3 linked regions of the Coturnix japonica genome follow. The protein of the gene in region 3 binds, or shares a complex with, the protein of the main gene of each other region. Links are inferred from orthologs where the notes say so. Each region holds a gene or a part of one and is shown on either strand. Other genes may lie near its edges.

Region 1 (4,299 bases), on a different chromosome or scaffold from region 3:
CCTGTACATGTGTGTGAATTAAACGTGCAAGGCTGTATTAGCCTGTATGATGACCAGGGTCTCAATACTGTGCCATTTGTACCTGTTAATCCAAAGCAAGCTTTATATCAAAAATAATACTGTTAAATCCTTCTCAAAATCTTCCAGTTAAACAAACTCTGAACCACACAGCATCACTGTCAAACCCACTTCATAATCCCTGTTTCCTTTCATGAGCATTCAGAACAAATGGCAATTGCCACATCCTGTTGTCTTTGCTGAGAAATGGCAGCACTTAACTCCCAAAACAACAAAGAGAAACACGCACAGGAGACCTGAAATTATATTTATAGGAATTATGTACCTTCTATAAACTAAAAATTCAGTTTAATTTTTTGATACAGAACTGATTGTTAATAATCGCTAATTAATTACGTACTTCCACACAGCTCTATGACACATTCATTACACTAAAGCTTTCCTGATAAGATGTTGTAAAGGAGAAACACTTCCATTTTCACACACCAAACAGGTTGTTTTCCAACCAAATATCCCCTAAGCAATCTCCCAAATCATAAATACAGATAAAACAACGGTTTTAAATCAACAGGATATACAAGTGCTCTGTTTTGGATGCAGAATCCCAAGTCACAAGCAAATCTGTACATCTACATCTCATTCCTGCCATATTAAAATAAATAAATAAATAAATAAAAGTATCACATCCGTGATAAGATTGACCTTGAACACATAGTCTAAAAATCACTATCTTGCAACAGCACCAAATATTATGAACGCGGAATGCATATGTACTTGTTTCATAGCACAACATATTATGAAACAAATAAAATCAAGAATGTTTCCATTACACTGAAGGCAAAGCAGCAGAACCTGAAATTGCTCTACATCAGTTTTCGAACCAAGCAATACTGCAACATCATACATAAAGAAGGACAAGCGTGATCCCTCGTTCTTTAGTCAAAGATCAGCCTTGATAAATCCAGTGTTAGATTACAAATCAGTTACATAGCAAAAGAGATGGAAGATCTACTGGCCTTTAGAGACAAAAAAATAAGTACCTAGGGGAACAGTGGATAGATTTGCATTGTTTTCCAATGCACTACAAAATAACAACTGAATCATGGTTTTTATCTAGTTGGATATGTAATGTATTTTAGATAATTTTCACAAACATTATTCTTAGTTAGTACTTAATCTACATAAGAGGCAAGGAAAATAATGTTTTAGTAAATAATTGTTATGAAACCTCAGAAACATAAGAATGTATTAAGAATTTGGTATAATAAAACCTCACTTTACAAGTCAAACATCTGTGACTGGGCGATCATCTAAAGGGCACTATCCGAAGCAAGTATTTCCTCCCAAAGTTTTGAGAGTAATACATGCTACATTACAGAGCGCTGATAGGATAAACAGCTACAGAGGTACACTGCCGTAACAGACAAAATACATGTCCTGCTGTAATGGCCTAGTAAGCCCCCTTCTTGTATCCTACAGTCGTATGGTGCAATGTGAAAAACAATTCCTTCTGACTTAGAATCTAGAGGCAGGGGATAAACTCACACACACTGTTAAGTAAAGGACAAACTCCTCCTGCAACCAAACACATTTCAAACACTGCACACTTATTTTTCTCACTATTTTACATCAAAGTTATTCCTGATCTTTGAAATTGTTTTATAAACTTCACAAATTATCCCTTGGGATTAAAGTAACTTTTCAGGATCTGCCATATTGGTTTCAAGAGTTGTTATCTTCAGATGTCCTTCTAATCACTGCACTGCAAGTCATTGCTCAATATATATTGCTCATATATACATACATTGTGTATATATTATATATACATATATACACACATTTATTTTTCCTGTTTCCAGTGCAACTTGATGGCATAAATCTTGCTTAAGTTGCTATGACAGATTGCAAACTGTGATAGACGAAGACCTGGCAAACGTTCTACCATCTCAATACAGGGGAGAAAGGGACCAGAAGCATCAGTCAGAAGTGCAAGATGGATATCTGAAGAGGATAAGCTGCTAAAACATCACTAGTCTACCAGAACTCAAATGCTGGCAGGTAAGAATGTAACTGGACAGCTGGAAATGACTTTGAGTGAGTAATCTGAAGAGTCACAACAGCTAAGACAGGTAACCAAACCCCTACCCACCCATCGTTCAGCACAGCATGCAGTGAAAGGGCTTTAAGTTGTCACACAAAGAACACACTCCAAATATCAGTGTTTCCAAAACCTTTATTCTGTTCCATAATTACTGCAATCCTCCTGAGGGCATGCAGCAGCTCTAATATCAACTCTATTACCTCCCCAAGACACAAGCTCACCACCTGACGCCAGACCTTCAAACTGCCATCTAACTGCAAAAGCACGACTGCACTTCTATTGCCTCCACAGAAAGACATCTGTGCTTCCATGAAGGAAGATGAGTTCACTTGTAAATTATTGATGGCAATTATTAAGTTGTTACTGGCAGCTTCTCTCGATAAGAGCCTCCCACCACTGCCGCGCTATCTGCTACATAATTCATCAACACTAAAACCCCAAGCAGCCTACAGTACCACGCACGCAACCCCACCGTTCCCGTTGTCACCTGCAGACATGACAGCCTCCCTTACTTACTGCAGAATTTTCTCCCTATACTTTAAACCCATCCCCGAAGAGTCCCACGGACAGAGAAGCAGAGATGCCCGCCCAAAAAGGCGAGTACAGCAGGAGCGGGTCCACGGCTGACCCGGCCCCGGTCCTCCCTTCCTCCCACCCTGTACTCACCTGCCCCGCCAGCCCGGCCAGGGAGCGCAGGGCGCTACTCGCCACCTCCGAGGCCACCAGCTTGGCTCCAGCCTCCGGAGAGCGCTCGCCGAGCTCCGTCAGGCCGGGCGCCGCCGCCATGACAGCAGCACGGGCCGCAGCCGGCAGCGACATGCCCCGCGTCGCTCAGCGATGACGAACGATGATGGACAGGAGCAGCAGCCAATGTTGCGGCCGTGATGGCGGCTCTCCGGGTGTACGGTGTTGGCAGCGTCCGACTGCTGCCCAGCACCTAAAGGCCCCAGGACTCCCAGCACAACTCATCACCTTGCCCTTCTCTTTGCCTCCTGTCCCTTTCTATCCTTCAGCTGCGTCCACAGTGGTAGTGCCTTGACTGAGTGCATTCATGGAAAGAGGGACGTGTGTTAATTCTAAGCATACTAAGCATACCAAATGATTGTACTTCTTTTTCAGCCTTACTTTTCTGCTTATTACTAACTTTTGTACACTCATGAGTTTATCTTCAAAGCCTTGACTCCTCAAGTTGCAGCAGGGTAGCTCTGTCGCCATACAATGAGGAACAAGTTTGTCACACTATATTTGTAGGGCAAGACTACTTCCTCCTCTGCAATCTGCTCACCTTCTTTCTTAGGACAGCAGCAGTGCTGATGAAAGTTTTCTACCTGGTGTTTCTTTTTGTCACTTAATTTCTGTCTTTTACCATTTTCCTGTTTCCTCCCCCAGATTTCCTTTACAATCATTTCTCTTGATTCATTTCATACTTCCTGTCTCTTGAAAAGGGTATTCCTAGGCTTATGAGCCAATTCTCCATCTCTGGTATAAAGGGAGACCACATAGCTCTGCAGGACAGACCAATCTCGACATTTTAGCTTTTTTCCCTATCATGCATTTTTCATGTCCAAAGGGAGATCATTTAGTAAACAACAACAGAATACTGAGGGTAGAAGCAAATCCAATTCTGCAAGTCACAATCAGACAAGATGGGCAGAGGATACCCACTTATCAACCAGACTTATGTTTTCCATTTCTTGAGGTATTAAGCCTTCTGAGATGCTGGGAAAGCACTGAAATCTTTGGTATTGTTTCATTTTCAGTCCCATCACACTTGGTTTTTGTTGTTGTCGTTGTTGTTTGGATGGTTGGTTGGTTGTTGGTCTTTCATTCCAAGTTCCAGCAGCAATTCCAGCAGCACAGCAGCAGGTTTTAGCTGCCATGGCTGACTTAACCCTTTGAAAATGGTAGCATGTCTGAACTGCTATAGGATCATGAGCAGGTTCTGGAGCTTCAACCAAAAGGGAATGTCTGCTCAATTCCAGAGGCAAATTACTGACTTAAGAGCTAATGATTTAAAAAATATATTTCATGGAAATATGTGCTTTACAAGAGATATGTTACCCAAACTGAGCTACATCACACTTGGCTGGATTCAGATCATGTGAACCATTATGTCTTCTCTCAGAGAAAACGTGCTGTTTCCTACTGGTAAAGAGACCACAGAATTTCTTCCCACTTTC
Region 2 (4,264 bases), on a different chromosome or scaffold from region 3:
GGAATTTCTGGGGACCAAGCTGGATTCTGAATTCCAGCTCTTTCACTCACAAAAATATGGTGAAAGTGATCTGCTTTTCAAAGATGCTACTCAGTCCCTTGTTCCTGCAACTCACATGAGCTATCGGGAAATCCTTGGAGAACCTTTCTTTCAGCTGGCAGAGTCAGTGTTTAATTGTACACCTGCAGGTAAAGTCAAATTCTTCATTCTGAATTAGAGAAAAATGCAAAGCAGAGGGAAGTTTTGTGTGCACAGGCACGGCCCTCTGGTTTATGCCAACTTCAGAGGTAATTTCTACATAACCTTGTTAGTGGAGTGTAATATCTGGAGTGTTGAGAACTCTTGCAGCTCCTATCTGTAAGCACTGCAAATGGGGGTCTGTGGGGATGATACAACCAATGCAGGTCAGAGCAAATATAAAGTTATTGAAGTGGAATTGTCTTCCACTCAGAAACTTGTTCTTCCTATCCCAGAGGTCTGGGTATGTCAGGGTTAGGGGAAATAACTCTGTTTCTGATAGAAGACTGCACTAAAAACTACACCAGAGTTAAAGATCTCATTGTACTTAAATGAGAGTTTGTTCACTACTATATACTGAAAGCTATTTTGTATTTAGTTCTGACTAAAACTAAATGAAACTGCTTATCAGTCAGGGCTGAGCTTGTTAGGGGCCCTGGGGATCTGTGCTGAAGTAGCTGCAGCTTGCACAATGGATTAGGAAGTTTAATAGCTGTTAGAGGACTGAAAGTCAACAAGGGAATACCAGCACTGTTGTGTTGTAGTGAACAGCAGCAACTTTCAGGGCCGATCACATCTTTAAGGCCATGTTCTCCTATTGGTTTGCAGGCATCTTGGACTTCTGCAGACAGGACACCTGTGCTCATTGATCTGACAGCTGCTTTGCAAGGCAAGAGCCGCCACCAATGTGAGAACAAGGAAATCAGTCTAGTCCTGCCTGTCTGCAAGGAAACCGTCACCCCCGGCCATGTATGCTGATTATCTTTTATCATAACCTTTGTTTTCTGCAGCAAGTAGATGTTGTTTATGGTCATGTAATACTGCTCCCGTGTCGTGCCGTTCCCGTTTGCAGCAGGGGTCGATCTGTACCATCCCTTCATTGGGGTCGATCTGTACCATCCCTTCATTGGGGTCGATCTGACCCATCCCTTCATTGGGGCGCAGCGCTGCCGTGACCGGCTCCGTTCAGCGCCGAACTCGTTTCTTACGTCGGTGCTGCCTCCGTGTGGCCAAAGCGCGGAACTGCACCGGGACGCATGCGCAGTGCGATGTGCGGGCTGACGCACAGTGCTCTGTGTCGCCTGACGCATGCGCAGAGCGCCCCGCGGCCCGTCGGTGCGGCCATGGCGCTGGTGTCGGCCGACTCGCGGATCGCGGAGCTGCTGTCCGAGCTGCAGCGGCTGCTGGGGCACACGCAGGTGCGGGGCTGGACGCACAGAGCGAGCGGGGCGCTGCTCTGCCGCACCGACACCATCGGGCCGCTCTGGGGGCGGTGCGGGGCTGTAGGGTGCTGGTTCGGGGCGGCGCTTTGTCGCACGGGTCCGGATTTGGGCTGTGGGGCTGGAGGTGGGGTGGTGGTGCGGGCAGCCCCCGTCATCCCGCTGCATTGCAGGAGGAGCGGTCCCGCAGCGAGCACAACCTCATCAACATCCAGAAGACGCACGAGAGGATGCAGACCGAGAATAAGAGTGAGAGCGGGGCCGGGCCGAGGGGCGGCGTGAAGGGGGATGAGGGGGCAGGGCTGGGAGGAGAGCAGGGCAATGGGGAGGGGAAGGGGTTCAGAGAGGAGTGTTGGGCAGGGGCAGCTTTGGGGCCGGGCTCGGGAACGGGGCGGGGTTTGGGGACAGCGTGTTCGATGGGGACTTGGTTTCACAGCGTTCTTACCTCCCCCCTCCAGTCTCGCCGTATTACCGCACGAAGCTGCGCGGGCTGTACACCACCGCCAAGGCAGATGCTGAGGCCGAGTGCAAGTAGGGCGGCCCCTTCATACCCACATCCCCATACCCTACACCCTTACCAACCCTACACCCTTACCAACCCTACACCCTTACCAACCCTACACCCTTACCAACCTTACACCCTTACCAACCTTACACCCCACCAACCCTACAGCCCACCAACCCTACACCCCCACCAACCCTGCACCCCACCAACCCTACACCCTGCCCCGTGCCCCCCATACATGACAGCTGCCCTTATGGCTCTGCAGCATCCTGCGCAAGGCGCTGGACAAGATCGCTGAGATCAAGTCTCTGCTGGAAGAGCGCCGCATTGGTACGTGCCTCCATTGAGCCCCCAAGTGTCCCTGACCCCCACGTGTCCCTGACCTCTCTTTTTCTATTTTTACACCCCAAATCCCTGGAATTACGCCCAAATCTCCCTCTGTATGCCCCCCCCCACAACTGCCCTCCCAATCTTGGTGTCACTGTGTCCACCCCCCCACTGTGTCACAGCTGCCAAGATCGCAGGGATCTACAGTGACGCGGAGCCGCCGCGCAAGACGATGCGTCGTGGCGTGCTGATGACACTGCTGCAGCAGTCAGCCATGACGCTGCCGCTCTGGATCGGCAAGCCAGGTGACAAGTAGGTATTCCCGACCCCACAAGTGCACTCTTCCCCACAGGGTGCCCTAAACTCCCAGACCCACACTCCATCATACCCCACATTGTGCCCTGAGCTCCCAGTTCCACTGGAGTTCTGGTTCTGGACTCAGATTCCAAAGCACGGCCCTAACCCCATGCCTGACATTTGGATCCATAGCAAATCTCAGCCCCACCCTGGGAAACCCAACCCCATCCAGACCCCATCCTGACCGTGCCCTCACCCTTCCTCCCCTCTCCCCCCATCAAACCCCAGGCCCTGTTCCCTGACCCCTGTTGTGGATTGCCAACACCCCCCTGACTGCACTGCAGAACCCCAAACCCCAGCCCAGCCTCACCCTCTAACTCCCACCCACCAACCCACCCCCACCTCATTCTCAGGCCCCCCCCACTGTGCGGTGCCATGCCGGCAGCTGGGGACTACGTGGCCAAGCCTGGGGACAAAGTGGCGGCACGTGTCAAGGCCGTGGACGGCGATGAGCAGTGGATCCTGGCGGAGGTGGTCAGCTACAGCCATGCTGCCAACAAGTGCGTGGAGGGGGCAAGGGGGCGGCAGGTTGGGTGTGGAGGGGAGCAGGAATATGTGTGTGTTGGGGGGGGTTTGAGTGGGGCCGGGGGGGCAGTTTGGGCACTTTGGGGGTGTGGGGCATGGTGTGGAGCACTGCACTTGTTGCTTGTGGGGCCGTGGTGTGCTCTGGGATCGCAGCATTTCCCCTTGTTTTGCTGTAGTTCAGTCCTTTCTCCTTTCTCGCTTCTCCCCACCCCAGGTATGAAGTGGACGACATCGATGAGGAGGGCAAAGAGTGAGCACCCCCACTCCACAACTGCCCTCTCTAACCCCACAGCTGCCCCCGCTCTCAGGCAGCCCCCAGCCTCCTCTCCAAGCCCTCCCAATCCCTCCAACTCCCTCCTTATCACCCCCTAACTCTTCCTAACTCCCTCCAAACCTCCTCAAACCCCACAGAACACCCCAACTCCCCACAGCCCCCCTCCCCATGTCCCCCACGCTCCCAGTTCTCCACAGAACTCTTCTTGCTCTCACCAAATCTTCCCAGATCCCCTCGGCGCACCCCCCCAGACCCCTCTAGCTCCTCCCGAACTCCCTCCCCATACCCGCCACACCACAAAGCCCTTCTCAACCCCTGCCCCCAAACCTGCTCTCCACACCCCTCATCTCCCCCATCCCCAGCCCGTACCCATTGCTTGCTCCTCCCTTCTGCAGGAGACACACGCTCAGCCGGCGCCGTGTGATCCCTCTGCCACAGTGGAAGGCCAACCCTGAGACCGACCCCGAAGCGCTGTTCCAGCGCGAGCAGCTGGTGCTGGCACTTTACCCACAGACCACCTGCTTCTACCGTGCCCTCATCCATGCACCCCCGCAGCGGGTACGGCCACATTTTGCCCTGGAGATGGGCCCTGCCGTGCCCCCAGCTCTCACTCATTACTGATGCTGTTTTCTGCCCCGCACACAGCCGCAGGATGACTACTCGGTGCTGTTTGAGGACACGTCATATGCTGATGGCTACTCACCGCCACTGAACGTGGCGCAGCGCTACGTCGTCGCCTGCAAGGAGACCAAGAAGAAGTGATTTGAGCAGCTTGGGGTACTTCGGGGATTTGGGGCTGTTTGGGGTATTTTTGGTGGT
Region 3 (3,726 bases):
TCCAAAAGAAAGGTCACAAGGATCCAAACATATTACACCATACATACCAGATGCAGTAAAATGTTAACCTGAATTCTGCATCAGAAAATAAAGGTGTGAAAATATACCTAATATTATTTAAAAGGAAAAGACTCATTTAAAATAGAAAGGTGTGAAGGTGTTACAGTACAAATTAGAAAAGCCAACACTGCACATTAACATTGTATCACTAGACTAGATTTTCTACCTTTGGTACTTAAACCTTCACAGAAAACCACTTCCTTAATCAAACCTTGCCTAACACATATCATATAGTAGCTGTGAAAGGTTTTTCGTTTGTTTTAACTTAAATATTAAAATACATTTCTGACTTTTCACTGTATTAATGCATTTAAGGAAGTGTTCACATTTACTCTATATGAAACTTAACGCATCTCACACTTAAAAGTCACTAAGAGACTCAGACCTGAATATATGCCAATTGTACCTTGTTCAGATCGTTATGTAAAAATGGACATGATGTTTTCCACTTGTATCCTTACACAAACAGACTTGCTGCCCTCCTCAGGACCCACGACTAGAGCAACCTGCTGAGGTCTCAGGTTAAAATAAACAAACTGCATTGTTACAGAGCTATGAGATCATCTACAGCAGTACACAAGTGGCTTTTCTAGTCTGCTCAGATTAGTGTACCAGAAGATATGACAGTATTACTTCAAGTAACACATTAAAACCCAGTAATGGACACTACTGTGCTTTATTTCAACACAAAGAACAGCCGCTCATCCATTAATCAACAGAATTTTCAAATCAACTATCAAAAGGACTACTACAGTTCTGTTCCATGTCTTACCCATCACTTTGGGAAATCCTTTGTCAAAAACCTGGACTTACCTACAAACCAATTTGAGTGATGAAAATGTTATCTTTGAAAGTATTCTAATAATCCAGTGGCAACCTAGTGTGGAAAACATTAGCATTACGCTGACAACGATGACTTATCAAGGTTAAATAAAATCCCTCTTTTATTGTAAGCATGCTCGGAGCTTCAGCTTTTGCCTTCACAGGCTTGAATCATTCCCAGTTACATCAGCGGAACCAGAACAGTTCTGTTTCATCAAGTTCCAGTTTTATATTTCAACAATATGAACATATCTGGACTACGCAATAACATCAACAGGTAACATTAAATCGGAGCAAAACAATAAGAAGAGTTAGTTTTCCAAAACTGGCAGTCTTCCAAGTAAAATATTCAGTCAGGACTGACTGTCAAAGGACGTAGTAATAAAACCATGGGTTTATTTTTTTCCATCCCATACCAAAAAGGATTCAATTTGTACAACTCCTATTAAACATACGTTTTCACCAAGCTAGGAAAGGTATCATTTTCAAATGGTAACAAGTGTGGTATTGGAGCATTTATAGTATTTATTGCCATATATATCCGCATTTTAAAAAGAACAAAGAATTCAAGACTGTACTATGCTGAACTTGACTTCTTTCCCATTAACAGTTTACCTCTACTGTACCACTCCCCCCAAAAACAATTAAAAATTCTAAGTAAGATTTTATAGTTTAGTTAAAAGGGAAGAAATGCAAATGTGGATTTAGAGCTTTTTGTATAAATCTCACTGTATTTTATAAACTTGTTGTTCATTGTAACACTGTTTATTGATCAAATAAGTGACGCACTGCTATCTAAAATTTCCATATACACCATTAAAAATCCAAAGTCGATATGATACTGAACCTTAAATCTTCAAGAGTTCAAAAAAAGACAGTTTATACATGTACAGCACACAACAGCAGACACCCCTAGAATACCAACTGCCAGTCCATGATGCATACAAACTTACAGGTAAGCATTCATTTCACTGTTTTCATTGTGCAGGAAAAATATTTCTTAGTGAAGACAGAAACCCAGCTGGTGAATTTCAGATATCATCTTCATCATCTTCATCCTGAGAAGATCCTGCCTGATTGGATGCACTGGCTGAGGCAGCAGCAAGTTGTGCCTGTTGAGCTGCTTGTTGCATCTGCAGCCACTCTTGCTGTGCCAGTTCTGCTTGCTGTTGTCTAGCCTAAAGACATGAATTTAATTGTTAAGGTCATACTGTAACTTGTGAAGAATCTCTAGAGCACCTTAGCTATAAAAGCAGTTTTATCTGCACCTGTAGGCTCCTTTTACATAATTTTTTATTAACTGTGCACACACATGTCTAGAAAACATGTCTAGAAATACCTTTGTTATTTGTACTAGGATGTCCAGCTATATTTGCTCTTCCTCTGAAGAGGCCAACATTTAGAGGATTTATACTTTCCAGAACAAGTACATTAGTCCACACCTCTTTAGTTTCATTGTAAGGGTTGTACTGAACCACTTACTAATGAAAAGATAAAGCAAGACAAAGCAATAAAATAATTTACGGCTCAGTTTCAAGGCCTCTTAGCATTCAGCCACCATTCAGAGACGAGAACAGTCCTACACTGCTGATTACAAATAATGTTGGCAATTACAAATTCATCCCTCTCACCACAGCATGTAGAAATACAAAAAGAAAACAAACAAAAAAACCACCAAAAAACAAAAACAAAAACAAAAAAAAACCAAAAACCAACCCACAGAAATGAAGAAATCCATTATCTCACTCTGCTAAGCCATCCTGGGAAAACAGAGCAATCTGAGCTCTTCTTAAATAAGGAGAGGCAGGTTGAGATGCCTTTGTTACAGAAAGGCATGTTATCTGTACTTCAAGGTACAAGATGTTCTAACCATGTTCTTCAAGTAGCTCACATGGTGCCTTCCCATTTTCCCATTTAGAGCTTTTTTTCTGTTTTTCAGCAACTATTTTTGATTTCAACACTGTGTTAACGTTTCATTTTCTGTTTTGAAAGTTCTCTAAATTAAAAACCTTCAGTATTCTTTATTTGCTCACTGAATTTTCCTTTCTTTTTCCAAAGCCTCAACAAACCAGCTTTCCAAACTTCAAGACACCAAAAGATGGTACTTCAGAAAATGATCAAAACCAGTTTACCTATTTAGTATACATGAAAAAAAGAAGTCTTCCTATACAATAAGAAGTGTTGCAATTTCTCAGCCTGTTCAACACTTCCCAATGAGGACTTCTCAGTATTTCTAAGTTTAAGCAGTAGCCAAGCTAAAAAGGTTGGAAAACAATTCAAGATGCTGTAAATCTGCAGCATCAGCTGTATTGACTAAGAAGCCTTAACAGCATCTGGGGTAAACTGAACTCATTTATCGAGCAACCCATTTACACAGGAACTTTACAAGCAACCTTTAGTAAGGAAGCCTCAAAAAGAACACTTCTGTTGATGACCTCATCTTCCACACTTTTAGACATGCACGAATATCAGGAAGAATCATTAGACTAACTTTAAACATTCACCACCATCCTCATACCAACTTACGTATAATTTAATTGTGCTTAATTCAAGTTAATTAAGTGTAATTTAGTATTAAGTAATACTTGCCACGTTGTAACATAACACTTTTAAAAATCATATAAAAATCAACACAATTTTGTTAAACCTGCATGTACTGTCTTTAATTTAGGCACTAAGGCACAGTATTATGGAATTTAAAACAACCACCAAAACACACTTCACGTGGCCCATTCTGCCTACATAAGGTAGCAATGGTTTTTAGCATTCTTGTTTTATGTTACTTAGGAGGTGGTACCCCCTCAACTATCTTTGTTGTTCTGAATATCCATCATCATTTTGTAG

Evidence for each region. The genes of interacting proteins can lie anywhere in the genome.
Region 1: DR1 (region 3) and MBIP share a complex: the UniProt entries of both Homo sapiens proteins name them as parts of the ADA2A-containing complex. The link is inferred for Coturnix japonica from reciprocal best matches to the Homo sapiens genes DR1 and MBIP.
Region 2: DR1 (region 3) and SGF29 share a complex: the UniProt entries of both Homo sapiens proteins name them as parts of the ADA2A-containing complex. The link is inferred for Coturnix japonica from reciprocal best matches to the Homo sapiens genes DR1 and SGF29.

The regions. Positions count from the first base shown.
Region 1 is NC_029520.1:33,103,327-33,107,625, forward strand, and holds the start of MBIP (MAP3K12-binding inhibitory protein 1), read right to left. Parts: upstream 2,960-4,299; 5' UTR 2,939-2,959; coding exon 2,786-2,938; intron 83-2,785; exon of another isoform or gene 10-82; coding exon of another isoform or gene 1-9. UniProt on the Homo sapiens protein: Inhibits the MAP3K12 activity to induce the activation of the JNK/SAPK pathway. Component of the ATAC complex, a complex with histone acetyltransferase activity on histones H3 and H4.
Region 2 is NC_029530.1:7,882,761-7,887,024, reverse strand, and holds the start of SGF29 (SAGA-associated factor 29), read left to right. Parts: upstream 1-1,305; 5' UTR 1,306-1,361; coding exon 1,362-1,436; intron 1,437-1,630; coding exon 1,631-1,706; intron 1,707-1,915; coding exon 1,916-1,988; intron 1,989-2,227; coding exon 2,228-2,292; intron 2,293-2,471; coding exon 2,472-2,601; intron 2,602-2,999; coding exon 3,000-3,146; intron 3,147-3,385; coding exon 3,386-3,421; intron 3,422-3,840; coding exon 3,841-4,003; intron 4,004-4,090; coding exon 4,091-4,207; 3' UTR 4,208-4,264. Other genes in the region: melanotransferrin-like, read left to right, coding at 2-188, 847-887. UniProt on the Homo sapiens protein: Chromatin reader component of some histone acetyltransferase (HAT) SAGA-type complexes like the TFTC-HAT, ATAC or STAGA complexes.
Region 3 is NC_029523.1:12,067,158-12,070,883, forward strand, and holds part of DR1 (protein Dr1), read right to left. Parts: intron 2,061-3,726; coding exon 1,914-2,060; 3' UTR 1-1,913. UniProt on the Homo sapiens protein: The association of the DR1/DRAP1 heterodimer with TBP results in a functional repression of both activated and basal transcription of class II genes.